Linked DNA regions of Stegostoma tigrinum. The protein of the gene in region 2 purifies or fractionates together with the protein of the main gene of each other region. This does not show direct contact. Links are inferred from orthologs where the notes say so. Each region holds a gene or a part of one and is shown on either strand. Other genes may lie near its edges. The genes, in order: map3k8, tnip2 and TRAF family member-associated NF-kappa-B activator-like.

What was found.
Region 1: the proteins of tnip2 (region 2) and map3k8 purify together in Homo sapiens (affinity purification with mass spectrometry; 3 studies listed by BioGRID and IntAct, with this or other methods). This does not show direct contact. The link is inferred for Stegostoma tigrinum from reciprocal best matches to the Homo sapiens genes TNIP2 and MAP3K8.
Region 3: the proteins of tnip2 (region 2) and TRAF family member-associated NF-kappa-B activator-like purify together in Homo sapiens (affinity purification with mass spectrometry; 3 studies listed by BioGRID and IntAct, with this or other methods). This does not show direct contact. The link is inferred for Stegostoma tigrinum from reciprocal best matches to the Homo sapiens genes TNIP2 and TANK.

What each region holds. Positions count from the first base shown.
Region 1 is NC_081355.1:126,052,572-126,063,658, reverse strand, and holds the start of map3k8 (mitogen-activated protein kinase kinase kinase 8), read left to right. Parts: upstream 1-6,575; 5' UTR 6,576-6,701; coding exon 6,702-7,019; intron 7,020-8,319; coding exon 8,320-8,490; intron 8,491-10,894; coding exon 10,895-11,087.
Region 2 is NC_081356.1:130,373,563-130,384,132, reverse strand, and holds the start of tnip2 (TNFAIP3-interacting protein 2), read right to left. Parts: upstream 4,317-10,570; 5' UTR 3,496-4,316; coding exon 3,148-3,495; intron 1-3,147. UniProt on the Homo sapiens protein: Inhibits NF-kappa-B activation by blocking the interaction of RIPK1 with its downstream effector NEMO/IKBKG.
Region 3 is NC_081360.1:59,987,375-59,998,403, forward strand, and holds the start of TRAF family member-associated NF-kappa-B activator-like, read left to right. Parts: upstream 1-6,250; 5' UTR 6,251-6,287; intron 6,288-6,500; exon of another isoform or gene 6,501-6,734; intron 6,735-6,797; exon of another isoform or gene 6,798-6,859; intron 6,860-11,029.

The DNA.
Region 1 (11,087 bases), on a different chromosome or scaffold from region 2:
AGTATGACCAGACCAGGAGTATTGCTCCCCTTGAAGGATGTCAAAAAGCCGGTGTTGGAACGCAGGTAGACAAAGTCAGAAATCACATGACACCAGGTTATAGTCCAACAGATTTATTTGAAAACACAAGTTTTTGGAGCGAAGCCCCTTCGTCAGGTGAAATGAGAAAGAAGCGCACAGGACATTGAATTTATAAGTAAAAGATCAAAGGGTCACACAACTGGTGAGAATATATTAAACAAACCTAAGATGCTGGTAATTATTTAATCATTCAGAAAGTTTTAATTGATTATATGTGTATATGTAAATCCCCAGATTTCTTTCAAGTCACTGCCCTGAGAGAACTAAAGGTGTTATTTGTGTAAAAAAGAGGTGATATTTTAGATCAGACAATGCATGTTAGGTGTGAGGCCTTGTTTAGAATCTGTTTGTGTTTTGTTTTGGAGTCAGACTGGTTTTATTTCTAAAGAAGGAATTTATAAAATGCCATGTTATCTGACTATGTATAAATTGTATGCTTTTTGGACAAAATAGAATGTATTTGCAAATACAAATTCACCCTATAGATGATTTGTGTGTGTGTGTGTATGCGCGTGTGTATGCGCGTGAGAGAGAGAGAGAGAGAGAGTTTGTGCACCTGTATGGGGGAGAGAGAGAGTGTGTGTACGGTGGGGGGGGGAGAGACAGTGTGTGTGTGTGTGTACTTGTGGGAAGGAGAGTGTGTGTGTGTGTGTGTGTGTGTGTGTGTACCTGTGTGAGAGAAAGAGAGAATATCACAGACACACCGTCTCTCACACATACACATGCATATTTTCTCTCTTTCCCACACATACACACTATACTCTCCTCTCCACCTATCTTCTCCTCTATCCATCTTTGGTCAACCTCCCCCTCTCTCCCTATTGATTTCAGAACCCTGTCTCCATCCCCCTCTCTGATGAAGGGTCTAGGCCTGAAACGTCAGCTTTTGTGCTCCTGAGATGCTGCTTGGCCTGCTGTGTTCATCCAGCTTCACACTTTGTTATCTTGGATACTCCAGCATTTGCAGTTCCCATCATCTCTGATCACAATTTAAAGACAGCCAGTCAATGTGGCATTTTATAAATTCCTACTTTAGAAATTAAACCTGTCTGAATCTAAACCATAACAAACAGATTCTAAACAAGGCCTCACACCTAACATACATTGTCTGACCTAAAATGTCACCTCTTCTTTACACTGATAACACCTTTAGTTCTTTCAGAGCAGTGACTTGAAAGAAATTCAGGGATTTACGTGTACATTTTAATCAATTAAAACCTTCTGACTGATGAAAGATTTAACAGCCTCTTAGGTTTGTTTAATACATCCTCATATTTTACTCTTGATCTTTTACTCATAAATTCGGTGTGTTCTGTGTGCTGATTTCTCACTTCACCTAATGAAGGGGTTATGCTCTGAAAGCTTGTGTTTTCAAATAAACCCCTTGAAGGAGGCTCTGGAGGCAGTTCAGAGGAGGTTCTCTCTGATTTCAGAGATAAAGGGTTTTCTTATGAAGAGAAACTGAGCAATTTATATCTATACACTGTAGAGTTTAGAAGAATGAGAGGAGATTTGATGAGGAAAATATAAGTTTTAAAGGGAATTGACAAAGTAGGAGTCGAGCGGGTGTTCCTCTAGAACAAGAGGTCACAGTTTTAGGATAAGGGCAAACAGATTTAAAGCAGAGATGAAAAGGAATTACTTCACTCAAGGGGTTATGAAACAGTGTTGGTCTCCTTATCTAAGGAAAAATATACTGGCATTGGACACTGACCAAAGAGGGTTCCTTGGATTGATCCCAGGTACGAAGGGATTTTTCATATGAGAAGTTGAGTAAGTTGGGCCTGTACTCATTGGAGTTTAGAAGAATGAGAGGCAACCTTGTTCAAATATTTTAGTTTCTTAGATTCAAAGAATCTTAGTATGCTTGAAAGGTAGATGTGGAGAGATTATTGTACAGGGGACATAATCTCAGAGGAAGTGTTCACTGATCTAAGACAGAAATGAAGAGGAATATCTTAGAGAGTAGTGAATCTGCTGAATTCTTTACCAAAGACAGCTGTTAAAGCTGGATCACCAAGAATATTCAAGGCTGATAATACAGATTTTTAGTTAGTAAAGGAATCAAGTGGCATAGGGAAAAGGCAAGAAAGGGGATTGGCCATGATCTAAACTGGGGAGGTAATGGAGAAATACAGCAGGCCAGGCAGCATCAGAGGAGCAGGAAAGTCAATGTTTCAGGTTGGGACCCTTCACCAGGAGTTGAGTCCTGATGAAGGGTCCAGACCTGAAAGTCGACTTTCTTGCTCCTTTGATGCTGCCTGACCTGTGTTCCTCTAGCCTCACATTGTATTGACTCTGACTCCAGCATCTGCAGTTCTTGCTGTCTCCTGCGAGGTAATAATCTAACTGTAATATCACTGGGCCAGTCATTGAAGGACCCTGAATAATGTTATGGGGGCATGATCTCAATCTCCCTGTGTGTTAGAGCAATGTTTTAGCCTTTACTGCTCGGGTTGGAGTTTAAAAATAAGTAAGTCCTATTACAACTGTACAGGGTATTGAAGAAGCTGCACCTTATGTACTGCATACAGTTTTGGCCCCCATATTTAGACAAGGATATACTGGCATCGGAGACAGTTCAAAAAGAGATTAACAAGGCTGATTTCTAGGATGAAGGGGTTTGGCTTACTAAGAAGATCTAAATAGCTTAGGCCTTAATTCATTTAAGTTTCAAAGAATTAGGAATTAATTAGATTGAATATATAAGATGCCAAGGGGGTTCAACAAAGTAGATTTTGATGTTTCCAGTTGTAGGGTAATCTTGAATTAGGAGATATAGTTACTGAATAAGGGATACTAAAACCAAAGAAATTTCTTTCCTCAAAGGGAGTAAATGGCTGAAGTTTTGTACCCTAGAGAGTGTGGAGGATGGATCACTGAAAGATCTTTAAAATATGAAGGAATTGACAACCTTGAGGAGTTGGCACAAAAGAGAATTTCAGGCCTTGGACAGATAAACCATATTCTTATTGAATGGTGGGACAGGCTTGAGGAGCCAAATGGCCTACTCCTGCTGCTATTTTTGTTCTTATTGGCATGCTCCTACATTTTTTAATCTGATTTGGCAGCATCTGCAGGAAAGGAAACAAAGCTAATATTTCAGGTTAATGATCTTTCATCAGAACTGGGGTTAACTTTGCTTATCTGCACAAATGCTATATTTCAAGCATTCTCTGTTTTTATTTCTGTTTTCCAGCCTTGTGTTTTCCTTGAGCAAGCTATTAGACTAAGTGACTATTCACCCCAATTCTTCTGGTGTTCTCTAAAGTTCCCTGGTCCTTGAATACTCTTATCCTGGAGACAGAAGATGCTGGAGAAACTCAGTAGGTCTGATAGCATCTGTGCAAGGAAGCAGAATTAATGTTCAAATCCAATGTGATTTCTTCAGAACAAAGTTCTGATGACTTTCTCCAGCATGTCTGCTTTTGGTGAATTTTCACTGAGAACATGAGCTGGCCTTGAGTCAAGTATAATGGTGCTGAAGTTCTTGCCATATGCAGAATAGCTGCCAAGTTTCCCTTCCCACATCACAGCCTAAGCAATTAATTGCAGTGCTGGAGACAATCGTAGAGACCTGTGTAAACCAAATTCTTCCAATCCTGGTATTCTGCCAATCTATTCACAGGTGCATCTCTGTGTTACAGTTTTACAAACACAAATGTTAATAGATCATAATATAAACTCAGTGGCTTAGTAATTGAAAGCCAAATTGAAACACTTCCAAAAATACGAAGAGTATTTGAGTCTGTGTCTGTTGTTTAAAAGGGTGAGTTATTAAATCTCCCTCATATATCTATTCTTCTCACAAGTAAAATATATTTTTCTATGTGGCGATGTCAAGAATCAGTATCACGCAGTTTCTAAAGCAAAGAATGATCCAGATTCAGATAGCTAAATTTTGAAAAGGAAAACGTATCTTCTGTCGATGGAAAAAACTGACTGTGCGTAACATTGACGTACTTCGGACAGTCTCCTGTCACATAAAGGACCAGTGAATGACCGCGCCACAAAACAGGAAGCGACTTCTTGGTAATGGAGATTACATTTTTAAGGTATATCATCTTCTAAAGAGATGATCGGCGACCCACGTTTTGAAACAGGTACAAAGCCAGTGCTAATCGTGTCCGGCATGTCAACACCCACAGCCCTGAGTATGTGGCACCATTACACCAACACTGCAGTCAATTAAGTAAAAACAATCTTTTACTTTATTATTCGGGTCGATCAGAGCCAAAATACTGTCTTCAAAGTACGGAAAATGTCAAAATGAAGCGCGAAAGTATTTAGAACAAAAATCTTAGTGATAATCACACTCAATGTTAGGTTTAAAATTTTGATGATCGGTATTTTATGACTAAGACATTGCAAAAATACTATTCTTGAAAATAAAATGCAGGCGTGCCCGTTCAACACTAAATGGAGTCAGTCTCACTTGCTGACTGAACCTGATAAGAGAAACTCTTAGACCAGGTCACGAAGAATGTTAGCGAAATTGACAGCGACTCAAGGGTTAAAACCGAAGAATGGATAACCGATATGATAAACAGGCTGGTGATGCGGTAAAGGGTAGCCTTCCATGAACTGTGGAGGACGTGTGCGCCGGAGGAATTCCCCAGTCATTGCTACTGTGAGGGCTACATGGCGCCAAGTAGTGCGCACTTGTATTTTCATTTTCTTTTCCGGTTGGGTATCGTGCATTCAATCGGAAGATGTTTTTACCCCTCACGGTTAAGTCTATTTTCGTCAACATGGGGATTTTATTATCGCGTTTACCCCAATGACATGGTGGGGAGGTGCTGTGACTGGTGGTAGAGTGAAGGATTTAGAGTGAAGGATTGGGTTTGTTCATTAATGGACAGTTAGCAACTCCCATTTTTGTAATATCCTGTTGTAGATGTCAGCTCTTTTCGGGTTAATAGCTGCAGTATGGTCCGAAGCATTTCCCCCCAGAACGTATATGTATTTTCATTGTTCGAAATAGTGTCCTAGGCTAAACCAATATTGTCTCATCGAACCCCCCCCCCCCCCCCCCCGCCATCAATATTATCATCATCAGAATGTGAATGTTCATTGGTTGCATTGTTCAATTCTGTTTGCAATTCCTCACAATAAGACTGCACTCAGTTTTGGTCTGACAATATCATACAAGTCCTAGGCACTGTACGTCTCCAACAGAAAGATTTCAACCACCACCCCGAACACTCAATGGCATTACCATTGTCAACTGCTGCACCATCAGCAAAAAAAACTCTTTAGATTAATACAGCGCAAATAAAAGGACAGAATCCAGAGGATTACCACTGATTTGAAACTGAAAGTGATCGGCCACATGCGTGCTGTGGTTACCAGAGCTGGTCAGAAGCTGGAAAGTCTGTGGAAGCAAGTGGTCTCCTGATTGCTACCCACCACGATAAGGCAGAAGGCAGGTTGATAGAATACTCTGCACTTTTCCTGCACTGGTGTAGCTCCAACAGCACTGATGAAGCCCAGCCATCTAGGACAAAGCCGCCCGCTTGATTGGTACCTCATCCTCTACCATCTTAAACATTCATTACCTCCAACAAAGTGTGTACCATCTACAATGTTCACTGCAACAGCTCAGTGTCTCTGTGGCAGCATCTTCAAAACTCACATCAGGAAGGACAAGGATAGTGTGTGCATAGCAACACCACCACCTACAAGATCCCTCTAAGCTTCACAGCATCCTAGAACTATATTGTGGTTCTTTCATTGTCACTGGATCAAAAACTTGGAGTGCCCTCTTTAAGAGCAAACTGTAGCAACACTGGATGGAGTCAGTGGGTGAAGCAGGTGGCTCACCACCACCTTCTCACGTATGAGCAATACATCCAACTGAAGTATGCTGAAGACTGAATTTTTAAACATGCACAAGTGATAATAAAAGCAAAATATTGTGGGTGCTAGAAATCTGAAACAAACTGAAAATGCTGGAGAAACTCAGCAAGTCTGGTAGTATCTGCGGAGAGAAATGCATAAGTGAACCTGTTTGTATCTTGTTATAAAGCAAATACTTGTGGACGCTGGAATCTGAAACAACAACAACTTTTCGGGGGGGGGGGTGGGAAAACTCATCTTTCTCCTTTTATCGGTGTGAGCCTCTAGCTGACCGCCCCTGCTGCGCAGCTATATTTTACGTAGAATATTACTTATTATTTACAGCATAGTAATAGGACATTCGATACAACTCCATGCCAGCAGCCTTACTTCATCTCATAAAGAAATACCTGCATTTAAATGAGGGCTGTTATTGGTAATACACCGTCGTAGAGTTATCACGGCACAGACATAGTAATGCTGTGTAATCCTGTCGAATCTGGGGCAACCCCGTCTAGGTTGTGTCCCGCCCCCTTGAGCTTGCCGCCCACTCACTCGGTTGTCAATGGCTCCGTGTACTGAAAGCTGAGCTCCACCCTTCTCACTGAAGCTGGGGAATCTCTGCTCGGTATCACATGCTTGGCAGTAGAGCTAGAGCGGGATCATGGCAGCAGTGAGACGCCGCCGCTGTTGCTGGTGTGTCTCTGCTGTGATGAGGTGCTGATGCTTTCTGCTGCATCTGTTTTGTCAGGGCAGACTGTAGTGATCGAAAGAGAAAGGCAATGGAGTACATGCTGACCCAAAGTATCGATAACGCCAGGTTGGAATTGCTGCTGGAGCTAGATGTGATGGATTACCTCGAGGCATTTTACCCCTTGGAGGACACAGCACTCTACCAGGACAATATGCTTTCGCTGGAGCAGCACTCGGATGAAGGAGTGCCAGAGAATAGGGCCAGGGACGGTCAACAGCCGACCTTCTACTCTGTCAGATATGGCACAGTGGAAGATTTACTTAACTTTGCAAATCAGGTGTCTAATACGTTCCGCAATTACCCCCAACGCTTCCGAAACCGCGAGACAGGAGTAATATTAAACAAGGTGAGCGAGGAATGTTTTGTGTACATGCAAGAGGTTGTTTAGAATACAGTAGTTTCTACTGTGTCGCCTTTTAAAAATCGCTTTTCAAATAGACTTGTGTTCCATGATTTTGTAGCGTCTCTTGAGATGGAAATTGGTCCAAAATGGATCCAAATCTTTTTGAATATACTGGATATTGACAGATAAGAATCTTGAATTTATATAGCGCCTTTCACTATCTCAGGGCGTCGCGAGTTGTTTTACAATTTATGAAGTACTATTGTAGTGCGGTCGCTGTTATAATTTAAACAGCCAGAAGCCTGTCTAATTTGCCTGAAGAAATTCTATAACAACTTGTTTAATATCAACTGAAACCATGAAGTGCAGCAAATTAGTTTTTCTTTTATTCCGTGCGCTCGGAAACAAGGTTCTTTACTTCATTTTTAAAATGCTAACGTGATCTAACTAGAACAGGTTGGGAACTGCAAATGTGATGTTAAAGAACTATGAGCAATTCCAGAGTAACAAATTGCAGGTCACCTGCGGCAAACAATTCTGTGCATAACAAGGTGTCACAAACAGTCATGCTTTTTTTTGGAAATGATATTAGTTTAGGCTGAGGACACTGGGAGAATTATCTTTGCTCTTTTACACATACTGCTAAGGGATCTTTAGCGTTTGCCAGAGAGGACAGATGAGGCATTAGTTCAGTATCACATCTGAAATACAGCATTTTATGGAGCTGTAGAGTCATACAGCATAGACATGGGCATTTCAGTCCTACTTGTCTTTGCCAACTAAATTTCCCAAACTAAACAATCCCACTTGCCTGCTTTTGGCCCATATTCTTCTAAACCTTTTTCCAGTTCATGTACCTGTCCAAATGTCTTTTAAATGTTATAACTGTACCTGCATCTACCATTTTGTCAGGTAGTTCATTCTGCATATGAATCACCTTGCATGTGAAAAAGTTTTCCCACAGGGCCATTTTAAATCTTTCTCCTCTCGCCCTAAAAAAATGCCTTGAGTTTAGATCTCCCCTACTGTAGTGAAAAGACCTTTGCTATTTACTGTATCTCTGCCCCTCATGATTTCACAGTGTTGCAATGTGTGACTGCTAGATTTCTGATGAATGGAAAATATTCTGCAGCACAACCTAGTTTTAAACTATTTTTAAATCCACCACAAGTGCTATTTGTGTGCAGATGTGCGTTTACCATTTACAGTAGGCCTATTTTCCTCAAATTGCCATTGTGGGAGGAAAAGTTAAACAAATATTCTTATTGCAGTTTCTTTTAGTGGCTTTCTATTTATTCCACAGAAGGATATAGTTATTAAAAATGGACATTATCAGATTGATTCAGAAGTCTTCCTGTTTCCATGGAAGTTTGCCCATAGGAACATTGGTCCTGGTTACATTCCTCGAGGTACTTTTGGAAAGTGCCACCTTGCACAGGACAGAGAAACAAAGAAGCGGATGGCATGTAAATTAGTAAGTCACTTAGCATTTTGTGAATACACTCTTTTACCTACTGAAAGATATTTTCAAAGCATATATCTTTATTGTTGAAACTTTACAAAGTTGTATAAGAATATAATAATTTTAGTAAGTAAAAATGTGAATTACCTTAACAAAACCAACACATTTTGAGTAATCTTAATTCTTCAACTTAATCTGTCTTGAAAAGCACATCTAGATCTCTCAGACCCATTTTATTTATATTGTTCACTTTAATGCCGCCTTCTTGTAATTTGCATGACAACTCTTTGCCAAGAAGTGGTTCCATGTGACTTCCCTTTTTATTCCTAACTTCCTAATTTTAGTTTGAGACTCCTGGTATTTGAGTCCAACAGCACAAGTAGAAATGTACTCCTTCAATCAGTACTTTTTTTGTTATTTCCTTTTGTAATCTTCAAAATTTCAATGAATAAAGGCATTTCAATGAAATAAAAATTTGACAGCATTTTTTTAAAGATGTGCACTCCATCCTGGTCCATTATGTCATTCACTGCAGCCAAGCAATCCAATGTACCTGGGCACAAACACAGGAAAGTTACCCCTGCAACTGCAATGCTTATTTTATTTGGGTGAAAGAAGTTCCTATAATTTGTATTTAAAATTGACTTTCCTATATGTTGAAAACTGTGGTTTTATAGTTAACAAACTGACTGGTTTCATTTATTTTGCTCTGCAATTCTTTTTTCCCCAACAAGCCATATTTTGTAAATATAAAAATGTATAAAACTAATAACCCCAATAGTGTCATGACCTTTATCTGATGATTTAGTGATCTAGAAAGTAAGTATATTTGCAAATGTCTTAAATGAGTTCTCCAAACATTTGCACATTGCATTTAATGAAAGCGTTAAAATGGCAAACCCAAGTTTTTTTTTTGGTTAAGATGTGTTTGGAGCACACAGCAGCAGGAGGAGTAATCACACCAAAGATGTTCATGAAGCAGATTCCCACTTTCAAATATGCTGTCAGAGGAAATGAAATCAAAAGCCAAGTGTTTCTTTTAATTTGACAGGAAATAAGTTTACAGGGTGGAGAGGAAATCATGTCCCACCATTTTCACTTGTCTCTCTGGATTTAAACAAGGGGTGACGTGGTACAAGTAAATCCGACCATAGCCCTACTGGACCATATGGCTCCTGTGTCATTAGAGAGGTTTAACCTGAGGATCGCCACGCATCAGGTGGGGGGAGAAGTTCAGAAGGACAGCACTTCATTGATAACCTCAGCTGATGTGGGAATTGAGCTCACACCACTGTGCGTCACGTGCTTGCCATCCAGCCAACTGAGCAATCTGACAACCATTGCAGCTGTGCTTGTAGCTTGGCCAGTAGGTGGCCAAGGGAAAGCTAAAATGTGCAATGGTAAACCATCAATAAGTGGAAAACAAAAAGGGTGAGAGGTGAAGGAGAAAAAGATTTTCTTGAAAATGTAAGTTGAAAGTTAAGTGATTTTAGCGTATCCTTACCTTTTCGGGGTTCTCCACATTGCTATGTGGGTGTGTGCATTATATGTTGCATTCCTGAGCTGGACAAATGACAATAAACTGAATGTTGCTACTGGTTTGTTCTGAATTAATTAATACAATGCCAGAAGTTAGTACAACTGGCCTTAGTATCACTGGGCTAATAATAGGAAAGGCTGACCATGATTCCAACTCTCATAGTGTGAAGGTGTTTAGATGCTAACTGAGGACTGTATCAGGCTGTCTAAGTGATTAAATAACCTCCTGAAGTTTACAGTCTACACTTAGACTACTGTGAACATTTTGGTCCTCTGATTTATGGAATGATATATTAGCACTGAAAGCAGTTCACTAGGTTTACTACAGGTGTGGAGTAAATTTCATATGAGTAGAATGAACCTGTAATCAGTGGAGTTTAGAAGAATTACCTGATTAAATTATAAAATATTCTTTGGCATTCACCCTGTTAAACCTCCCCTATGTAGGGGAGTCTAGGACCAGAGACTCAAAGTGAGGGGTCACACGGTTAAGACAGAGCTGAGGGGGAATTTCTTCTCCCTATAAGTAGTGAATCTCTGGAATGCCTTATCTCACAGTCTGTGGGTCTGTGTAATTATATATGTTCAAGGCTGAGAGATTTTTAATCAATAAGGGAATCAATGATCGTGGAAAAGGCAGGAAGGTGGAGTTGAGAATTATCAGTTCAACTATGATTTCATTGGTGAAGGTGACACAGTAGGCTGAATGGCCTATTTCAGCCCTTTGTATTTTGATATTATTCTCACACCATGAATGACCATTTAGGGGACGCAATATTTCAGCTTGGATTATTGCCAGTGGGACAGGGGACAAGGGAATTGATGAAATAAATGTGCTCTTTTTCTTATATAATCGACGTTTTGTTTCAAATTCAAGATACCAGTGGAATTTTTTAAGCCTGCTGATATACAAATACAAGCACAATTTCGCCATGAGAACATTGCAGAATTATATGGTGCCTTACTGTGGAATGAAACCATACATCTCTTCATGGAGGCAGGAGAAGGAGGTTCCGTTGCAGAAAAATTAGAAAGTTGTGGGCCAATGAAAGAATTTGAAATCATTTGGT
Region 2 (10,570 bases):
TAACGAAGGCCATTTGGTGTGCACCAGAGCTCATACAACATGAACCGTTATCTTCTAACCCCATCAACACGTCCTTTGAATCTCTTCTTCTTCAAGTGTTTATGTGGCTTCCCCTTAAATGCATTGATGCTTCTCAAGTCAATCAATTCTTCTGACAGCAAGTTCCACATTCTCACTAATCCATAAGTAAAGAAGTGGGTTTTTTCAAAGAAACCTTTCAGATCACCTGAGTTAGTCGACTTTGAATACAGAGTCCTCAAAGTGCCACTGAGTTTCCTGCATAATCTCTCAAATTTCTCTGTAGCCATAGCTGCTTTACCCCAGGGACTGAAACTTACATGGTATTAATAGATCAGTTTGATTTACACGTGGGTGGGATAAAAGAGATCACGCAGAAGGGGGAAGTTCATAATTATGGCAGTCACAGAGTGATTCTGGAAGAAGCAGAACCTCTGCTGACACAAATCAATTTTGGACGCACAAATTCACAAGTATTTGGTTATTCAAATCAAGGATATGCGGGCATTGCTGGAAAGGCCAGCACTCATTGCTCATCCCTATCTTGGGGGAAGTGACTTGCTCGGGCCATTGAGACTCCATCACTTTGCTGTTGATCAGGAGTTACATGGAGACCAGACTGGGCAAGGACAGATTTCCTTCCTTATAGGAAACTTGTAAACAGAAAAATCCAGTAATTTTGTGTTTGCACTTACAGATGCAAATTGATGCCAGATTTATGTTATCAAGTTAGTTTAAATTCCCCACTTTCTTGCTGAAATTTGATCTCAAAATTATCAGTCGCAGCCTCTCATACTATGTTGACGTTCTTCTCTGTTCTCAGTTCAAAAGGACCACATTGAGTATTTTCATATCATATCATATCTATTGGAAGAATGACCAACATGCTTTGCTCTTAATTACTCAATTGCCAAGCAGTCACTCTACTGTATCAAACCACCATTGATATCGTAACAGTGGGCCAGCTCCACCTTCTCTGAGTAACTTGGGACAGTCACTAAAACAATGTCTTTGCCAGCGATACTGACATCCTGAAAAAAAAATCAATATTACAGAGATGTGTTGTTGTGAATGGATGTCAGACATTCTAGGAACACAAAGGGTGCTGTGAATCAGTTGGGTGGACAACAGTGGAGTCATGAGGAAGAGAGGACTTCATGGAGTAAATGCAGAAGTTAGGAATTTTAAGGTTGGAGGCTTCTAGCTTCAGAAATGGAAAAACAGGAAAACCAAATGTCTGGCCAACAGCAAGATGATTGGTCAGACGTGATTCAGTGGATCATACTTTCATCTCTGGTTCAGAAAGCTGCAGGTTCAATTCCTACAGCAACGCAAAATCTAAGCTCTGACATCCCCAGTGTCAGAATGAAGGTGACTTCTTTCAGCTGGGATTGACATAAAGATTCAATGGCCCCCTAATCAAGGAAGAGTACAGGAGTCTCCCCTGGTGACCTGCACAATATTTATCCCTCAGTCAAAATCGGGTTTATTTGAAAACACAAGCTTTCAGAGCCTCAGTGCTTCTTCAGGTGTTAGTAAGAGATAGTGATACCACCTCTCTCACTAACACCTGAAGATGGAGCGAGACGCCAAAAGCTTTGGTTTTGAATAAACTTGTTGGGCTAAAACCTGGTGTCATGCAATTTCTGACTATCTAGATTGACACTCCTAGTGCTGCACTATCAGAGACACTGTCTTTTGGATAAGGCTCTGCGGGCCCTCTCAGGTGATAGCACACTACAGTTTTGTGGAAGTGCAGAGGTATTCTCCGCAGTGTACTTATCCCTCAGCCAATATTACTGTAACAGATTCTGATCTTTATTACCTGCTGTTTTTGGGAACTTGAGCCTAAATTGCGACAGTGATGGCACTTCAAAAGTACTTTATTACCTAGAAATACTCTGGGACAAGGTATTACAAAGACAATGTGTTTCTCTAATTTTCTCATAAAAAAAGCATTCCTTTTAATGTGGCTGACATTTAGGAAAAGAAGAAAAATGTAATTTTTACTCCTTAAAAAAAATGTATTCTTTGTTTCTCCCTCATTGGGCTGTGGTCCCCAGGGCAAAGTTACCACTTATTGGCCATCTTTAATAAGAAAGTAATAGTGACTCTTCTGGACCTCTTGGGAGAGATTTGATACAACTGAGTGACTTGCCACCATGACCATTATTGGGCAGAACTGGAGTCATACAGGTAAGCCCGAGGGGCTGTTTTCCTTTCCTCAAGGGTATTAGTTGAATCAGATCTTATCCTCCCGTATGCATTTGAGGGTGCCTGAAATCTAAAGACGATTTCAAGGTGGGTCACTAGCTGTCTGGACTCCCGGCCTCCGAAGGAGGGAAGTTACACTGTTACGTCAACTGAGACCAATGCTGTGTATCAGAACCCACACAATCAGCTTAGGCAGGCTTCAGTTGATTATTTTTGTTAAAAGACATCCAAAAATACAGTTCATCCAGATCAGTTGTTTTAACTTTGTGCGACATCCCTTCGACACAAGTTGTTACAAGCACAGGAGGCGGCCATTCAGGTCACTGTGCCTGTGCAAGCTTTCTAAAGGAGAAATTCATTTAATAATATTCTCCAACATGTTCACATAACTCTGCATTTTCTTCCGTTTCAGGTAAGTTCACATCCCTTTTGAATGCTTCAATTGATCCTGCCTCCACCATGTTCTCCAGCAATTCATTCTAGACCTTAAATGCTCAATTTAAAAAAAAGTTTCCTCAATGCTTTTGCCAATTACTTTAAAATCTGTGCCCTTTCATTCCTCCATCATTTCATAAGTGGGAACATTTACAATTTACTCTGTCCAGACCTCCTGATTTTGAATAAGCCATGAAACAAATTAATATCAATTAAATATCCACTTAATCTTCTCTGAAAGGACATGAATCCCAAAATCTCCAAACTATCTTCAAAACCAAAACTCCTCATTCCTAGAACCATTCTGATAAAAGTCAGCATCTACTGATTCTGAACAAAAGGGAATTCCTTACCCCAGCAGGTTTTACTCACTTGTGAATTAACCTGGATTATATATTTTCACTATGCCACAGGAAGATTTTTATTATTTTTCCAAAAATACTAGACACATCTTTACAGATAGATGTTTTTGCCCCTTACCTCTTTCAGCTTGGTGTTCTCTTGCTGCCAAATCCTTGCTGAATCCGCCAGCTCCTTTTTGACTTTACCCACCTCTTGCAGCAGACAGTCCACAAGGGAGCCGGACGGACCAAAGCTGACCCCGGGCTCCTGGCCGAAACCGACCGCGATGCTGCCCTCGTAGGCGGCCAGGCGAGCCTGCAGGTCTTTGACCAGGCCGTCCTTCAGGGTGAGCTCCCGACTCAGGCGGCCCACTTCCTGCAGGGTTTCGTGGTAGAAAGTGGTGATGGTGTTGTAGCTTTTTAGCCTGGCCTTCGGAAGCCGGCTGTCCTTTTGCTGCTCCGCATTCTCATCGCCGTCCACAGACATTGTATATAAATGCTGTTCTGAATGCGACCTCCCCCGACTCGGGAAGGGGGGGAAGCAATCAGTCGGGATTTTCTTCTCGAAATTCTTATAAGTTTTTAGAAAAAGAGATATCTAAACGAAGACATTGTGTGCTGTGTCAAATTGTTAAAAAAAGTTGCCAAAAAAGTCGACCCTCGGTCTCTAAATATATATATATAGATTACTGTCTCAATTTTGATTCAGAGGTTGCGGACAATGTTAAAAATGCAGTAATTAGCACAAATTGTCCGTACTTTCTGAGTAGCATTGAAAGCTAATTAATGGGAGACACTGTAGCTAAATGTGGATTCTCTGGAGCGTTCACTCCGACAGGCAGATAGTAAATATGAAGAGATTAAACCTTGTCCTAGGGGCAGTGACTGACTGTATCCATTCCGTTCCCTCCATGTCATTTCGTAATCGGCGTATTTCCATCCAGCAGCTCGGGAATTTCCTCCCCGGGGGATCCCCCTCCTTCTCTGGATTTTTTTTCGTACTTTTCTCTCTTTTGAAAAATAAGGGGCCGATTCTACTCCGCTCACTTGCCTGTGTCCGTCTGGTTCCAATTACCATTTGCTAGTTGAAAGCTCCAAGAAAACCACTCGTAACAAAAAAACACAGGAGCAGGTCTACTTTTTTTTTAAACATTAACACGTGTCTGACTAGCCGGAACTAACTCGGTTGATGGACGTTTTGTGACGTTCTGACGCTTCCTGCTCGGATTTACCCTTTTGCTTTAAATGAGGGGTTTACAACCTTTAAAATCTGATCTTTTTCTTCGACCTCCCCCTCCCCTCTCAAAGTTAACCGTACACATGTCACATTCGTTACACAACACTCCTTCGCCCAGTGGGCGTGTGCTGCCTGTTACAGCAACATCCGCTTCATGTTATTTCTCCTAATTTAGTTACAGTTTCATGTGAATGTGAAAGGCGAGAGAAAGCAATTGGCACTGATTCTCCCAGGAAAAAGGCAAGGTGGGATGGTGAGCGGGCTGTTTGTCAGCAAGGAAGTTTTGTAAATGAAGCTACCGGCCGAAAAAGGTTTTTCAAAACTACACGTTAGAATTATTTGTGTGGGTTTTTTTTCATCAATCAATTCCAGGAAGTGATACATCACCGATCCTTCACTGACAAATGACAAATGATAACTCCCTGTGGGGAGTTCGGATACGATTGTTGAATAGAATTTAGACCACAGATATAGATCCTGTTGACACTTCCCAATGAGGGACAAGTCTCACCACATTCTCTCTCCAGCGGTGTGTTTATTAAGCTTCCCCTGAAATGTTCTTGGCCTTAACTCCTTGTGGTAGTGAAAGATAAACAAAAAATGCTGAAAGAGCAAATCATGTAGGCAGTATCTGTGTCAATGGATCTGTGACCTTTTCATTGCTGCTGTATAATGATTCGTCCGTCCTGCCCATCGTGAGCTAGCATCCACTATTCTCTCTCCTGATAGGGCCTTCTTGGTTTGGTGTGCTGGAGAAAAACAGATTTGATAGTTTAACAAGAAAGGGCTTTTGTTTTTATTAAGATGTTGGTTATTCTAATGATAGCAACTGATGGAATAGACTGAGAGTATGGGCTCATTTGGTACAGTGGCAATGACTCTACCTCTGAACCGGGAGGCCTGAGTTTAGTCCCATTTGCTCCAGCATGGATTAGAAACTGTCTAGATTGAGATTAAGGAGGACCTAGATTGTTGGCCATTTGCTGTTCACAATCCTAAACTTGGGCTTTGCAAGGTGGGGTGGATCGAAAGCTCAAGTGGGGTCAGAACTGAAATGTTGTCATCCTGAACTGTGAGGCAGCAGTGGTCACAGTGGAGCCCTGACTGAGTTATTACCAGCTGTGCTCCCAGTCTGACAGGAACACCCCCTCACTTCTGATCTACCACTCAACTCTCACAGTTCACACTGTGGGATCAGATCAAATTTCAAGGCTGGGTGTGGCTTCTGCAGGAACAGATTGAGGAAGGACTATCCAAATTTACCCTCCCACCAAGTCCCTATGATATCATCATAGTGGATGGTGCTTAAGACATTAGGGACAATTAACCCTTTCAAACCCTGACACAGACCACTTTGAAAAAGGCACTTTCTCCTGTAAATCTTTTTGGATCGTTTGGGGACTAACTCCTACTTTCTCCTCTAGTTTAGGATGCCATCTCAGCAGGTATCTTGGCTTTGCAAATCATTGGTGCAGATTTGTGGGCAACATTTGGCCCATATCCGTCTAAACCCTTCCTCTTCACGTACCCATCCAGTTGCCTTTTAATTGTTGTAATTGTACCAGCCTCCAACACTTCCTCTAGTAGCTTGTTCCATACATGCACCACCTTGTGCCTGAAAAAGTTGCCCTTTAGGTCCTTTTTAAATCTTTCCCCTCTCACCTTAAACTTATGTCGTCCAGTTTTGGATTCTCCCACCCCAGGGAAAAGAACTTGTCTATTTAAGATAACAAGGTGTAGAGCTGGATGAATACAGCGGGCGAAGCCGCCTCAGAAGAGCAGGAAGGCTGACATTTCAGGCCTAGACTCTTCTTCAGATCCTTGTCTATTTACCCTGCCTCTGTCCCTCATGATTTATAGACCTCTATAAGGTCACCCCTCAGCCTCCAACGCTCCAGGGAAAACAGCCCCAGCCTTATTCAGCTTCTCCCTATAACTCAAACCCTCCAACCCTGGCACTCTCCTTATAAATCCTTTCTGAACATTTTCAAGTTTCACAACATCCTTCCTATAACAGAGAGACCAGAATTGCACACAGTTTTCCAAAAGTGACCTAACCAATGTCCTGTACAGCCGCAACATGACTTCCCAACTTCTATGCTCAATGCACTGACCAATAAAGATAAGCACACCAAATGCCTTCTTCACTACCTTGTCTACCTGCGACTACACTTCCAAGGAACTATGAACCTGCACTCCAAGGTCTCCTTGTTTGGCCACAGTCCCCAGGACCTTACCATTAAGTATAAAAATCCTGCCCTGACTGACCTTTCCAAAATGCAGCACTTCACATTTATCTAAATTAAACTCCATCTCGCACTCCTCAGTGGCCCATCTGATCATGATCCTGTTGTACTCTGAGGTAACATTCTTCACTGTCCACTACACCTCCAATTTTGGTGTCGTCTGCAAACTTACTAACCATACCTGCTATGTTCACATCTAAATCATTTGTACAACTGACGAAAGCAATGCACCCAGCACTGATCCTTGTGGCACACCGGTCTCCAGTGTGAAAAGCAATCCTCCATCTCCACCCTCTGTCTCCTACGTTCGTTTCCAAATGGCTAGTTTTCCCTGTATTCCATGTGATTTAACCTTGCTGACCGGTCTACCATGAGAAACCTTGTGAATGCCTTACTGAAGTCCATCTAGATTAAATCCACTGCTCTGTCCTCATCAATCTTCTTTGTTACTTCTTCAAAAAACTCAGTTAAGTTAGTGAGACACGATTTGCGGGTGCAGAAGAAGAAACATCTTAACCAGTACAAGAAAGCAAGTTTAATAAATTATTTAAGGTTTTAGCCAAGATCTGTAGCTCGGGTTGTGGGTGAGGTTGTTGACTTGCTCACCAAGCTGGCTTGTTCTCATTCAGACATTTCATCACCACGGTCGGTGATATCAATAGTGGAGTCTCTGATGAAGCTATGTTATTCTACTCCATTTGGAATTTATACTGCCTGGTCCATTATGGCGAGTAATGTTATTCCCAGTTCTGATCTGTATGGATTTGTATATGGCATCCAATTCTATTTGCTTGCTGAATGTTTGGTTTTGATCTGTATGGGTTTGTATATGGGGTCCAATTTTATATGGTTGTTGATTACATTACGGGTGGAGAACCATGCCTCTATAAATTCCTGTGCGTGTCTTTGTTTGGCTTGGGCTACTACAGTTACGTTGTCCCAGTTGAACTGATGGCCTTCGTTGTCCAATTGTGCTGATATTAAGGAGAAATAGACATGCTGTTTTGCTACTAGTTGATTTTTGTGTATTCTGATGGCTAGTTTCCTTTCTGTCTGTCTGATGTAATTTTTGTGGCAGCCCTTGCATGGAAATTTGTAAACTGTGTTGGTTCTGCATGTTGTGGGAGTGGGGTCTTTAATCCTTGTGAGTGTTCCCAAACATGCAGAACCAACGCAGCCATCAGAATATACAAACATCAACTAGCAGCAAAATGACACCATGAACTTTCCTTAAAATCGGCACACTCGGACAACGAAGGCCATCAGTTTAACTGGGACAAGGTAACTGTAGTAGCCCAAGCCAAACATAGACGTGTACAGGAATTTCTAGAAGCATGGTTGTCAACCCATAATGCAATTAACAAACATACAAAATTGGATCCCTTTTACAAACCCATACAGATCAAAACAGGAAATGACAGTACTCACCATAATGACCAGATGGCGGAGTAGAACAACATCACTTCATTGGAGGCCTCACTGATGATGTTACCGAGCATGGCGATGAAATGTCTGAATGAAAACAAGCCAGCTCTGCGAGCAAGTCAACAACCTTTAATAAATTATCTCAATGTTGAAAGATTCCCTTAGGCAACATTGACCATAACATGGTAGCATTTAACGTTCATAGAACATAGAACATAGAACAACACAGTGCAGAGCAGGCCCTTCGGCCCTCGATGTTGCGCCGACCTGTGAACTAATCTAAGCCCATCCCCCTACACTATCCCACCATCATCCATATGCTTATCCAAGGATTGTTTAAATGCCCCAAATGTGGCTGAGTTAACTACATTGGCAGGCAGGGCATTCCACGTTCAGTTTGGGACTCAGTAACCTGGATCGGAAACAACTGTGTTAAACCTAAAATAATTACAAAGCAATGAAGGCAAAGCTATTTGGAGTGTACTGGGGAAGGAGTTTTCATAGAATCCCTACAGTGTCTAAACAGGCCATTTGGCCCAACAAATCCACACTGCCCCTCTGAAGATCATCCCACCCAGGCCCACTCCCTTATCCCTGCATTTCCCATGTCTAACCCACCTAACCTAAACGTGCCTGGGCACAATGGATAATTTAGCATGGCCAATCCACCTACCCTGCACATCTTTGGACTGTGGGAGGAAACTGGAGCATCTGGAGGAAACCTACACAGACACGGGGAGAATGTGCAAACTCCACACAGACAGTCACCGAGGCAGGAAATGAGCCCGGGTCCCTGGCGCTGTGAGGCAGCAGTGCTAACCACTGAGCCACTGTGCTTCCCCCAAGTTTATCCCCTTCCGACAATTCTTCTTTCTCACAGGGATAAATCTTTATGTTTTGTAGGAAAGCCAAATGGCAGACATTTAAGAAAATAGTTAATGGCTCACAACAAAGATTTATCCCAGTGAGAATGAATGATTGTAGAAAAGGGATAAACTAAACATGATTAAGGATAGTTAGGGATAGCATAAAACAGCATAGCAAAGATTAGTGGTAATCCAGAAGATTGGGAAAGTTTTAAAAAGCAACAAAAGAAAAAAATAATAAAGAGGGAGAAAATAAACTTTGAGAGTAAACTTGCAAGTAATAACACAACAGGCAGCAACAGCTTCTTTAAATATATAAAAAGGAACAGAGAGGCCAAAGCGAACACAGGCCCCTTAGAGAATGAGGCTGGGAAAATAATATTGAAGAATAGGAAAATGACTGAAGCAATGAATAAGTACTTTGCATCAGTCATTACTGTAGAATACACTAGTAACATTCCAAACGATATTGAATCATCAAACAGAAAATAAGCAAGGAAATAAACACAATGGTTATCACTAGAGAATACATACAAGGGAAACTACTATTATATCTCATGGATCTGATGTGTCACGTTTTAGGATGTTAAGGGAAGTAGCTGCAGAGACACTGCTGGTAATTCTCCAGGAATCCTTAGATCCTGAAAATATCTCAGAGAATAAAAAACTATACAAGCAAGGAACAGGAGGTATCTGTTTAGCCCCTTAGGCCTACTTCATTACATCACAGTAGCTGATCTATATCTCTGTCCAATTGATCTGCTTTTGCTCCACATCCCTTCCTGAATCAAAATCGAACTTTCAGTCTTGAGAGTTTGGATTCGTTCCCATGGAACATGAACAGCTGTTTTGGAGTGAAGAGCCCAGAGATTCTCTATCCTCAGTGCAATTTCCCTCCTAAATTATCTGGTTCTAATTTTAAGATTATGGCCCTTTGTTCCTTCATTCCTCTGTTTTTTCAGTGACCCTATCAAATTTGTTTTTTATTATTATAAATATCACAATAGTAACATTCCCTCATGTCGAAATTTGTTAAGCAGCCTGTCACATCCTACAGTTTTCACTTGCTAATGCCTCAGCTAACCAGATTTGCCAACCATTCAGCATCTTTTTCCCTAGAGTGTAAATTGTTGTGATTGTTTAAAAGTTGCCATTCTTGTGTTTGTCCTGATTAGATGTTTGGTTCAGCAATGTGTCTCTCTTTTCAGTAATAATCAAGTTGAGAATACTGGCTGGTGAAAGTTGTTATGCTAAAACAGTTGTGAAAACCATAATCAAAATGCAGAGAAAGTTGCCAACTACCACACAGACTTTGCAGAGATTAAAGAATTATCCAGAAAAAATGTCATGTTTGGCACTGGAACAAATTCCTTTGAATACTAACTTCGAGCATGCCTGGGCACAACGGACAATTTAACTTCTAACTCTGAAGATGAGGTAAAAGGGTTGCCTGATTAAGCAGGGTGATTAGAAAAAGGAAGTCATGCAATGATTTCTAATAATACATCCAACTTGAGTTACCATCACCATAGAGAATGTATTTTGTGTGGTCTGGGTATATTTGGGGAATCTTACCCAAATGTTCAAAACGTGCCTTATTACTCAGATTTTGATTGATCGGATATATTGCTGGAATTCTCTGTTTTCGCCTCACTAATTAAAGCCTTCTGTCAAATTTCTATAAAGTTCCAGCTTAGAGTACATGATCCAGGCTGGAGAATACCATATGCCTAAGAAGAAATCTCAAAAAAAATTGAAAACAAAAGCATCTGCCGTAAATCACCACTG
Region 3 (11,029 bases), on a different chromosome or scaffold from region 2:
CAGGGGATGCAGATCCAGTGGTAGCAGCAGGGAACTGGGATGGTGCAAGGGAGGGGAGCTAGGGGTACCAGAGTGGGTGGCAGACACGAGCTGGGTTTGCTGAGGAAGAAGGAGCGGATCTGAAGGGCTGGGTCTGCATTGTACTTGAGGGAACAGGACCTGGGGCTGCTGGGGAAGTGAGGAGGAAGAATGGAGTACGTTGCTAACGAGACCAGAGACGGGCTGCCAGGGAGTGTGAGGCCATGTACTAGATGGGGCAAGGTGCACTGGACGGAGCAGCACCAGGTGTTGATGTTGACAGGGCATAGTAACAGGTGTAGGGCTGGTTGCAGTTGGGACACTGGTATAGAGCAGAACCAGGGTGTTGGACAAGTGAGCAGAACCAGTGATGTATGTGGGAGAGGTCAGTGCAGGGGAGTGTGTGGGGAAAGTGGGCATGAGAGTCCAAGTGTGTAGTAAAACTATAAGTCTTCAGAGACAGATGGAGTATTGGTAGAGGAGGTGTCATGAGTTGCAGATGTCATAAAGTCATACAGCATGGAAACAGGCCCTTTGGTCCAACTAGACCATGCAGAACATAATACCAAACTAAACTAGTCCAACCTGCCTGCACTTGGCCCATAACCCACCAAACCTTTCCTATTCATATGTTCCTCTAAATGTCTTTTAAACATTGTAATTTTACCCACATCCACCTATTGTTCAGCAAGTTCATTCTGCACGCGAACCACCTTCTGTGGAAAAAATTTGTCTGTTATGTCTTTTTTAAATCTCTCTTTTCTCACCTTAAAACTGTGCCCCTAGTCCTAAAATTCCCCGTCTTAGGGAGAAGACAAATATCATCAACTCTATCTATACCTCTCATTATTTTATAAACTTTTATCAGGTCACCTCTCAACCTCCAACATTCCAGTGGAAAAAGTCCCAGCCTATCCAGTCTTTCCTTATAACTCAAACCCTCCATATCCAGCAACATCTTGCTAAATCTGTCCTGAACCCTCTCTAGCTTGGATAATATCCGCCCTATAACTGGATGACTAGAAGTGGATACAGCATTCCAGAAGAGGCCTCACCAATGTCCTGTACAACCTCAACATAATGTCCCAATTCCCGTACTCTAAGGACTGAGCAATGAAGGCAAGCATGCCAAATGCCTTTTCAGTCAACCTTCCCAAGTGATGCAAACTTTAAAGAATTATGTACCTTCACTCTGTTCCATAGCACTACTAAAGGCCCTACCAGTAATTGTGTAAGCCCCATTGATAAAGTAGACGTACAGAGAGTGTTTTCTTTCATGGGGCAGTCTAGAACAAGAAATCATAGTTTTCTGATAAGGGGTAGCATTGGAAAGACCATGAAAGACCTGGGTTCTCCCAGGACAAGTCTGAGTTGAGAACCACCATCACCGTCAGAAGATGTCAAGATCATCACTGGATCATGATTGTGAACGGATCTTGAAGGGTCATTGGTTGAGCTAGGCTGAAATTGGCGCATCTTTATGCTGGCTTCAGCAGCAGAGTTTCGGGGCTATGGCTTCTGCTAGTGCCCGCACGTCAGCCTAGGCAATTAGTGATACAGTCAGGGTGATTGTGAAGACGGTGGAGGAAAGGTCGCCGGTCAACCGGACCTTCTATGTGAAGAGACTTCTCCAGGATTGCTGCAGGATCCAAGCAGCAGATATTTTTTGTGAGTTTACAAGATCCTGTCCAAGAATTCTTGAAAAATTACTTCTGCGCATCTTGTGGATGGTGTATGTTGTCGCAATTGTGTGCCATTGGCGAATGCTCAAGATGGTGGATTGGGTGTCAAATTAACTGCTGAATTATTTGTTTTATTCATTTATGAGATGTGGCTGTTGCAGTTGGGCCAGCATTTATTGCCTATCCCTAATTACCCAAAGTCAGTTAAAAGACACCGTATTCTTGTGGCTGTGGAGTCACATGTAGGCCAGACCAGGTAAGGATGGAGGTTTCCCCTCCAAAAGGGCATTTGTGAACCAGGTGTGTTTTTCCCAACGTCAACAATGGATTCACAGTCATCACTACATTCATAATTCCAGATCTTTATTGAATTCAAATTCCACCGTCTTGTGTGGCAGGATTTGAAGCCAGGTCCCCAGAACATGAAACAAAAACAGAAATTTCTGGAAGAGCTCAGCAGGCCTAGCAGATCTGTGAAGAGAAATCAGAGAGAAATCAGGGTGGCATGGTGGCTCAGTGATGCTTCACAGCACCAGGGACCCAGGTTTGATTCCCACCTCGGGTGACTATCTCTGTAGAGTTTGCACGTTCTCCCCTCGTCTGCATGGGTTTCCTCCAGGTGCTTGGGTTTCCTCCCCCAGTCCAAAGATGTGCAGGGTAGGTGGATTGGCCATGCTAAATTGCCCATAGTGTTCAGGGATATGTCAGGTAGATGGAATGGCCATGCTAAAATTGCCTATATTTTTCAGGAATGTGTAGATTAAGGGGATGGGTCTGGGTTGGATTCTCTGAGGGTTGGTATGGACTTGTTGGGCCAAAGGGCCTGTTCCCACACAGTAGGGATTCTACAAAAAGCTGATGTTTTGGCTCCAGTTCTGAGGAAGAGTCACTGCACCTGAAATATTAACATTGATATCTCTCCACAGATGCTGCCAGACCCGCTGAGCTTTTCCAGCAATTTCTGATTTTGTTTCTGATTTAACGCATCCACACTTCTATTGATTTTTATTTCCCCAGAGGCCATTGCCTCCCCCTCAAAGTTTCTTGGATGTTTTTTGAGCTGCACTCAAGTGAAGCACATTTGAGCATATTTTAAGCTTGTGCTTCATAAATGGCAGGCAGGCTTTGGGGAGTCAACAGGTACGTTTCTTACTGTAGAATTTCAAGCCAACACCTACTTTGATACCAAAGTATTTGTGTGGCTAGTCCAGTTAAGGCTTTAGTTGATGGTTAACATCCTGGATATTGATTGTAAATGGCATGGAACATAAATAGGAGATGACTGAATTCTCTCCAGCTGGAGACTGTCATTGGCTGATAATTGTACACTATAAATGTTGCTTACCACTTTTAACTCAAGCCTGAATATTGCTTAGATCTTGCTGCTTCAGTATCAGAAAAGTTATGAATTACACTGAACAACATGCAAGCAACAGCAAACGTGCCCACCTTATGATGGAAGGCATTTTATTAATAAAACACTCGGGTAGAGAGAATCATTTTCAACATTACCTAGTGTGAGGGTAAGAAAGATGACACTTAATTTTGGGTGAATGGAGTTAAGATGGAAGGAGGTGAGTCTCAGATGAGATGAGATCAGGAGATAAACTTGAGAAGAGTGTTGCTGTGGTTGGTGGGGATTTCTTAATTCCAATTAAGTCCTTGAACCCCTCACTGCTGTTAAAAATGAGGAAAAAGGGAAATAGTTGAAGTTATACAAGAAACTGTGACTGCATGTAATTAGTGAAGGACAATAACTATTGTTTTTATCTAACTTACTGCCAGACATTTTAACAATCTGAGATAATAAAATGTGAGGCTGGATGAACACAGCAGGCCAAGCAGCATCTCAGGAGCACAAAAGCTGACGTTTCGGGCCTAGACCCTTCATCAGAGAGGGGGATGGGGGGAGGGAACTGGAATAAATAGGGAGAGAGGGGGAGGCGGACCGAAGATGGAGAGTAAAGAAGATAGGTGGAGAGGGTGTAGGTGGGGAGGTAGGGAGGGGATAGGTCAGTCCAGGGAAGACGGACAGGTCAAGGAGGTGGGATGAGGTTAGTAGGTAGGTGGGGGTGCGGCTTGGGGTGGGAGGAAGGGATGGGTGAGAGGAAGAACCGGTTAGGGAGGCAGAGACAGGTTGGACTGGTTTTGGGATGCAGTGGGTGGGGGGGAAGAGCTGGGCTGGTTGTGTGGTGCAGTGGGGGGAGGGGATGAACTGGGCTGGTTTAGGGATGCAGTGGGGGAAGGGGAGATTTTGAAACTGGTGAAGTCCACATTGATACCATATGGCTGCAGGGTTCCCAGGCGGAATATGAGTTGCTGTTCCTGCAACCTTCGGGTGGCATCATTGTGGCAGTGCAGGAGGCCCATGATGGACATGTCATCAAGAGAATGGGAGGGGGAGTGGAAATGGTTTGCGACTGGGAGGTGCAGTTGTTTGTTGCGAACTGAGCGGAGGTGTTCTGCAAAGCGGTCCCCAAGCCTCCGCTTGGTTTCCCCAATGTAGAGGAAGCCGCACCGGGTACAGTGGATGCAGTATACCACATTGGCAGATGTGCAGGTGAACCTCTGCTTAATGTGGAATGTCATCTTGGGGCCTGGGATGGGGGTGAGGGAGGAGGTGTGGGGACAAGTGGGGACAAGACACACTTGTCCCCACACCTCCTCCCTCACCCCCATCCCAGGCCCCAAGATGACATTCCACATTAAGCAGAGGTTCACCTGCACATCTGCCAATGTGGTATACTGCATCCACTGTACCCGGTGCGGCTTCCTCTACATTGGGGAAACCAAGCGGAGGCTTGGGGACCGCTTTGCAGAACACCTCCGCTCAGTTCGCAACAAACAACTGCACCTCCCAGTCGCGAACCATTTCCACTCCCCCTCCCATTCTCTTGATGACATGTCCATCATGGGCCTCCTGCACTGCCACAATGATGCCACCCGAAGGTTGCAGGAACAGCAACTCATATTCCGCCTGGGAACCCTGCAGCCATATGGTATCAATGTGGACTTCACCAGTTTCAAAATCTCCCCTTCCCCCACTGCATCCCTAAACCAGCCCAGTTCATCCCCTCCCCCCACTGCACCACACAACCAGCCCAGCTCTTCCCCCCCACCCACTGCATCCCAAAACCAGTCCAACCTGTCTCTGCCTCCCTAACCGGTTCTTCCTCTCACCCATCCCTTCCTCCCACCCCAAGCCGCACCCCCAGCTACCTACTAACCTCATCCCACCTCCTTGACCTGTCCGTCTTCCCTGGACTGACCTATCCCCTCCCTACCTCCCCACCTACACCCTCTCCACCTATCTTCTTTACTCTCCATCTTCGGTCCGCCTCCCCCTCTCTCCCTATTTATTCCAGTTCCCTCCCCCCATCCCCCTCTCTGATGAAGGGTCTAGGCCCGAAACGTCAGCTTTTGTGCTCCTGAGATGCTGCTTGGCCTGCTGTGTTCATCCAGCCTCACATTTTATTATCTTGGAATCTCCAGCATCTGCAGTTCCCATTATCTCTGATACCATTTTAACAATCTGGCTACTTTTATAGCCTCCTGCAGTGCCACAAGGATGCCACCCGAAGGTTGCAGGAACAGCAACTCATATTCCGCTTGGGAACCCTGCAGCCTAGTGGTATCAAGGTGGACTTCACCAGCTTCAAATGCATCCCAAAACCAGCCCAGTTCGTCCCCTCCCCCCACTGCATCACACAACCAGCCCAGCTCATACCCTCCATCCACTGCATCCCAACACCAGCTCAGCCTGTCTCTGCCTCCCTAATCTGTTCTTCCTCTCACCCATCCCTTCCTCCCACCTCAAGCCACACCTCCATTTCCTACCTACTGACCTCATCCGACCTCCTTGACCTGTCCGTCTTCCCTGGACCGACCTATCCCCTCCCTACCTCCCCACCTATGCTCTCCTCTCCACCTATCTTCTTTTCTCTCCATCTTTGGTCCGCCTCCCCCTCTCTCCCTATTTATTTCAGAACCCTCTCCCCATCCCCCTCTCTGATGAAGGGTTTAGGCTGGAAATGTCAACTTTTGTGCTCCTGAGATGCTGCTTGGCGTGCTGTGTTCATCCAGCTCTACACTTTGTTATCTTGGATTCTCCAGCATCTGCAGTTCCCATTATCTCTGGCTACTTTTATATATTGGCAGTGTGTTTTTGGGAAGGGATTTAATTTCATAGCATCATTACCAGATTATAGTGTACTTCTGGAGTAAGGCCCAACATTGTTTATCAGTGTAAAGCTTGATCTCAGGGGAAAGTCCTATCTCAGGATTTAAACAAGTTTGAGGTTAAGCAGCTACACACACATTCTAGTTTTAATCTTAGATTCTTGTGGGCACTTGATAAAGCAATTTGTTCCACTGGGGATGGCAGCACCCATGGAAAAAGGTGCAAAAGTGGTTAGGTCTCAGCATCAGACAAAAATCTGTTAAAATTAGCAGTGAAACAGTGGAGTCAGTCACGTCGGTTGTACTTCACGATAGTATGCTCATTTCCAAGTGTGGCTTTTTCAAAAAAACGCTATTTTAGTGGCTGTCTGCCTCTCTTCCAGGGAAATGGTTGTGCTTTTGGAGAAGGTAATCCACTTGGTGCTGATGCTTTCCATTATCAGTGGGCACAGCAGAGTGTGGGTACAGAGATCAATAAAAAAAGTTATGATTTCATTGAGAAGTGATTCATTTGTTTTCGTGATTATTTCGTCCTCATTTAGTCTGTCCTAGTGCTGTCGGGCCCAGGCAAGGCCAGGCCCCCATACCTCCCCGGGCTTGATTTAGAGAGTGCGGGTTATGAAGATGTACAGACGGGGCAGTTGTGCTTCCTTCCCCCTCGGTTTATGACGGGCTACCGGAGGGAGGGAGGGAGTGAGGAAGACGGAAGTCAGGCGGCGCTGAGGACGGGGATTCCCCGCCGGGAACTTCCGAGCTCTCCGTCTCGAGCGCAGCGCCGGACCGCAGCCAATGAGCGGAGCCGGTTTAAATTAACAACGGCCGAGGGAGCAGCGCGGTGGGGCTTCGGCTTGATCGGTGAGTCCGGGCCTCCATCACCGCACTTCAGGATTCATGATGCGACTGTGCTGGGGGGTGGGAAAGGCATCCCAGGCCTGGGGCTCTCAAGGAGGCCGTTGCCTTAAATGTCACTGATGTCTCAGGTGATTGCTGCTGAGGCCTACTGACAGCCTTTGGTCCCCACCAGCACTCATGTCCATTCGTGTTTCAGCGTAACTGATCAGTCAAAGTGCAGCTCCCTGCCGAGCCTCCAGTTTATTGGCTCTCGTTTGATTTGCCTGAAACTTAAGTTAAGCAAACTCTTGCATTTGCCACTTCGAGTAATCTTGCGTTTGTCATTTTGTTTTAAAAGTGAAAGTGCTCACACAAAACTAAAGTGTATGGACATCTTATCGTCACATGTTTCACAGGCACTTCCTTGGAGGTGATACAGGTTGTGAGTTACTGTAGGTGAAGCTTTGGGAATGACTTACATGTGTCTTAGATTAGATTCCCTACAGTGTGGACACAGGCCCTTCGGCCCAACAAGTCTACACCACCCTTTGGAGCATCCCACCCAACCCATCCCCCTATATCCCACACACCCCTGAACACTATGGGCAATTGAGCATGGCTGATCCACCTAACCTGCACATCTTTGGAGATAATGGGAACTGCAGATCCTCTGATGAAGGGTCTAGGCCCGGGGCATCAGCTTTTGTGCTCCTGAGATGCTGCTTGGCCTGCTGTGTTCATCCACCCTCACATTTTATTATCCTGCACATCTTTGGACTGTGGGAGAAAACCATAGCACCCAGAGGAAACCCATGCAGACACAGGGAGAATGAGCAAACTCCACACAGACAGTCACCTGTGGCTGGGATCGAACCCAGGTCCCTGGTGCTGTGCTAACCACTGACCCACCATGCCGCACCTCTTGTAGCTGCTGAACAGCCAAGGTAGAATCATGGAATCCCAACAGTTTTAGAAGATGGATAGTGTGCCAATGAAGTGAGCTGTTTTGATATGAAGGGTGTTTTATTTTTGGGCTTTTTTGTTTTGAAGCTATGCTCAACCAGGCATGTAAAAGGTATTCTTTTCTTTGTTTAACAGAGTGAGTCATAGAATCCCTATGGTGCCAAAAGAGGCTTTTTGGCCCATCTAATCTGTACTGACTTTCCAAAGACCATCCCACCTAATCCCATCAAACCTATATTTACCATGGCTGACCCACCATCACTTACATAGAGTCATACAACATAGAAACAGGCCCTTTGGTCCAACCAGCCCTTGTTGAACGTAATCATAAACTAAACTTGACCCACCTGCCTGATCAGTTAGGAATGAGTCCAGGGTGTGCACCCTACTGCGAGACTTCCAAGCCCAGAAGGTGCCCTGGATTCAGTCAGGGCAGACACCAGGTCATGTCACTTTGTAGAATAGGGTTGTGACTGCACCGGAACAATACCCTGCTGGGGGTCTGGCCTGTTTACCGAAGGGAGTGAATCCTGGATGTGTGAGGAAACCAGAGCACCCAGCAGAAACCCATGCAGACCTGGCAAGAAAATACTAACTCCACACAGACAATCGCCCAGGGCTCAACCTGGATCCCTGGTGCTTTGAAGCAGCAGTGCTAATCACTGTGCCATTGTGCTGCCCCCTAAAGAAGAGAGAACAGTGTGGGTGTGCGCGCGCGAGTGGATTTTCAAAATAGTCAAGCTACTATCTTCAGAAATTAAAAGTAGGAAAAGCTGGAAATAACAGTTTGTGGATAGGGAATACGGAGTTACCCGGGTTGATCACCTGATGTATTAACTTTGTTTCTTTGCTCATATGCTTATATTAGAAGTTTATTGTTTGGAATATGTACTTCTTCAGCAATGAACGGCTGATGTGTCTCCTCGGTTATATGTGTTTTGGGTCCAAGGAAAGTTGAATTGACTTGAGATTGCATGGGTAACTGTAGCACAGTGAAGCATAGTTCAGACTGGACAAACATTTTTAATCTGTGAAATTTGACTGTGCAGTTAACTCTGCTAATGTCTAAAATCTGTTTTGCTTCTTGGGTAATTTGCATTGTGCTTCATTCATGTAGAGAACTCTAATCTATAGTCAGAGAGATATGGAGCTTTTAGTACAATTTCAGGGTATCCAGGGCTGGTACTGTATGACTCTGAGCAAGAACATCAGAAAGAATAAGCAAGAGTAAGCCATTCAGTGCCTTGACCCTGCTGCGTCATTCCAGATCATCTACCTCTATACTATTTCTCCTCCCTTCCTCCTTGTCCTCATATCCCTTGGATTTAGAAATATAACAATCTCTGTTTTGAATATACTTTGTGACTGAAAATTCTTTCTCATTTCCTGACCTGCTGCATTGCATCTTTTTTATGATGCTTTCTGAAAATTCATACATCACATTCACTGGTTCTCCCCTTTATCCATTTTGCTAGTAACATGGTCAAAAAACAGGTTTGTCAAGCGTAATTCCCTTCAATGAATCTTTGACATTGGCCAATCAGATCATTATTTTCTAAATGTCTAGCTTTTTTCATAATAGATTCTAGTAACTTTTCTACTAACATTAAGTTAATAGGATGGCAGTTCTGCACTTTATCCCTCCTGCCTACATTAAGTAGTCATATTACATTTGCAGGCACCATTCCAGAATATCTAGAGATTTGTGAAATGATCACCAGTGAGCGCACAATGTGCACAGCCACCTATCATCAGGCCCAATGCGTTTGTCAATGTTCAGTCCTGTTAATGTGTCCAGTACCACTTTGTTAACTTGCATTTTTTTTCAGTTCCTCATTTTTGCTAGTCCATTGAATCTTTATTTCTGGTAGGTTTCATGTGTCTTCTGTCATGAAAACTGGCACCAAGTAATCATTTGGCTTCTCTGTCATTTCCCTATTTCTCTATTATAAATTGTGTTTAAAGGAGCCACTGTTTCTTTTTACTTTTTTTTCCTTTACATTGCTGAAGGAGCTTTTCCTGTCTGTTTAAATATTTCTTGCTAGTTTACATTCACGTTATTTTCTTCTTTTATCAGTTGATCCTCCTTATGTTCTAAAATACCCCTAATGATAGGTTCATTACCTTTTTATGCAGTTTTATATATCACCTGCTTTGATCAAGTGGAAACTTTAACTTCCTTTGTCAGTCAAGATCTACTCACACCATTTTGGGTTTTTTACTACCTTACAGAGATGTATCTTTGTTGAAAACCATGTGTTAATTTTTGTTTTTGCAAATGAGCCACCAAACCTTTTTCTGGGTGACAGCCAGTGACTCAATGGGTACTTTGGGGATCAGAATTTGTACCCCAGCTAGTCACAATATACACATGAATGATTTAAATGAGGAAATTAAATGTAGTGTTTCTACATCTGCAAATGGCACAAATTTGAATAGGAAGCTGAACTGTGAGAAAAATGCAGAGATGCCTTCAGTGTGATTTGAACAAGTTGACTGAGTAAGGAAATGTATGACAGATGAAGTATTATGTACATAAACGTACATAAATACTTTGAGCAAAAATAGGATGGCACATTATTATCTGACTGGTGATAGATTAGATCAGGAAAGGGTGTGGTGCAACGAGACCTGGATGTCCTGTACACCAGTTGCTGAAAGTTAGCACACAAATGGTATGTTGGCCTTCACCATAGGAAGATTTGAGTACAGAAGTAGGGATGTTTTGTGGTTGCACAGGGTCTTGGTGAGACCACGTTGAGAATATTATGTACAGTTTTTGTCTCAATATCTGATCAAAGTTATTTTGGCTAGAAAGTGAGTGTTGTAAAAGTTCACCAAACTGATTCTTGGGATGCAGAACTTTCATATGAAGAGAGGTTGGTTCAGTTAGGACTATATTCACTGCAGTTTAGAAAAATGAGGGGGAACCTCATAGCAACTTTTTAAATTCTAACAGGATTTGGATGTGAACATAGGAGGTATAGTTAGTAAGTTTGCACTTGACACAAAATTGATGATGTAGTTGACAGTGAAGAAGAAGTTTACTTCAGAGTACAACAGGATCTTGATCAGATGGGTCAATGGGCTGAGGGGTGGCAGACAGAGTTTATTTTAGATAAATGTGACCATTGGTGCTGTAGTTTGGAAAGGAATATCAGGGCAGGATTTATACACTTAATGGTAAGATCCTGGAAGTGCTGAACAAAGAGACCTTGGAGTTGCAGGTAGACAGGATAGTGATGAAGGCGTTTGGTATGCTCGCCTTTATTGGTCAGTGCATTGAGTATAGGAGTTAGGAGGTTATGTTGTGGCTGTACGGGATATTGGCTGGGGCACTTTTGGAAAACAGTGTT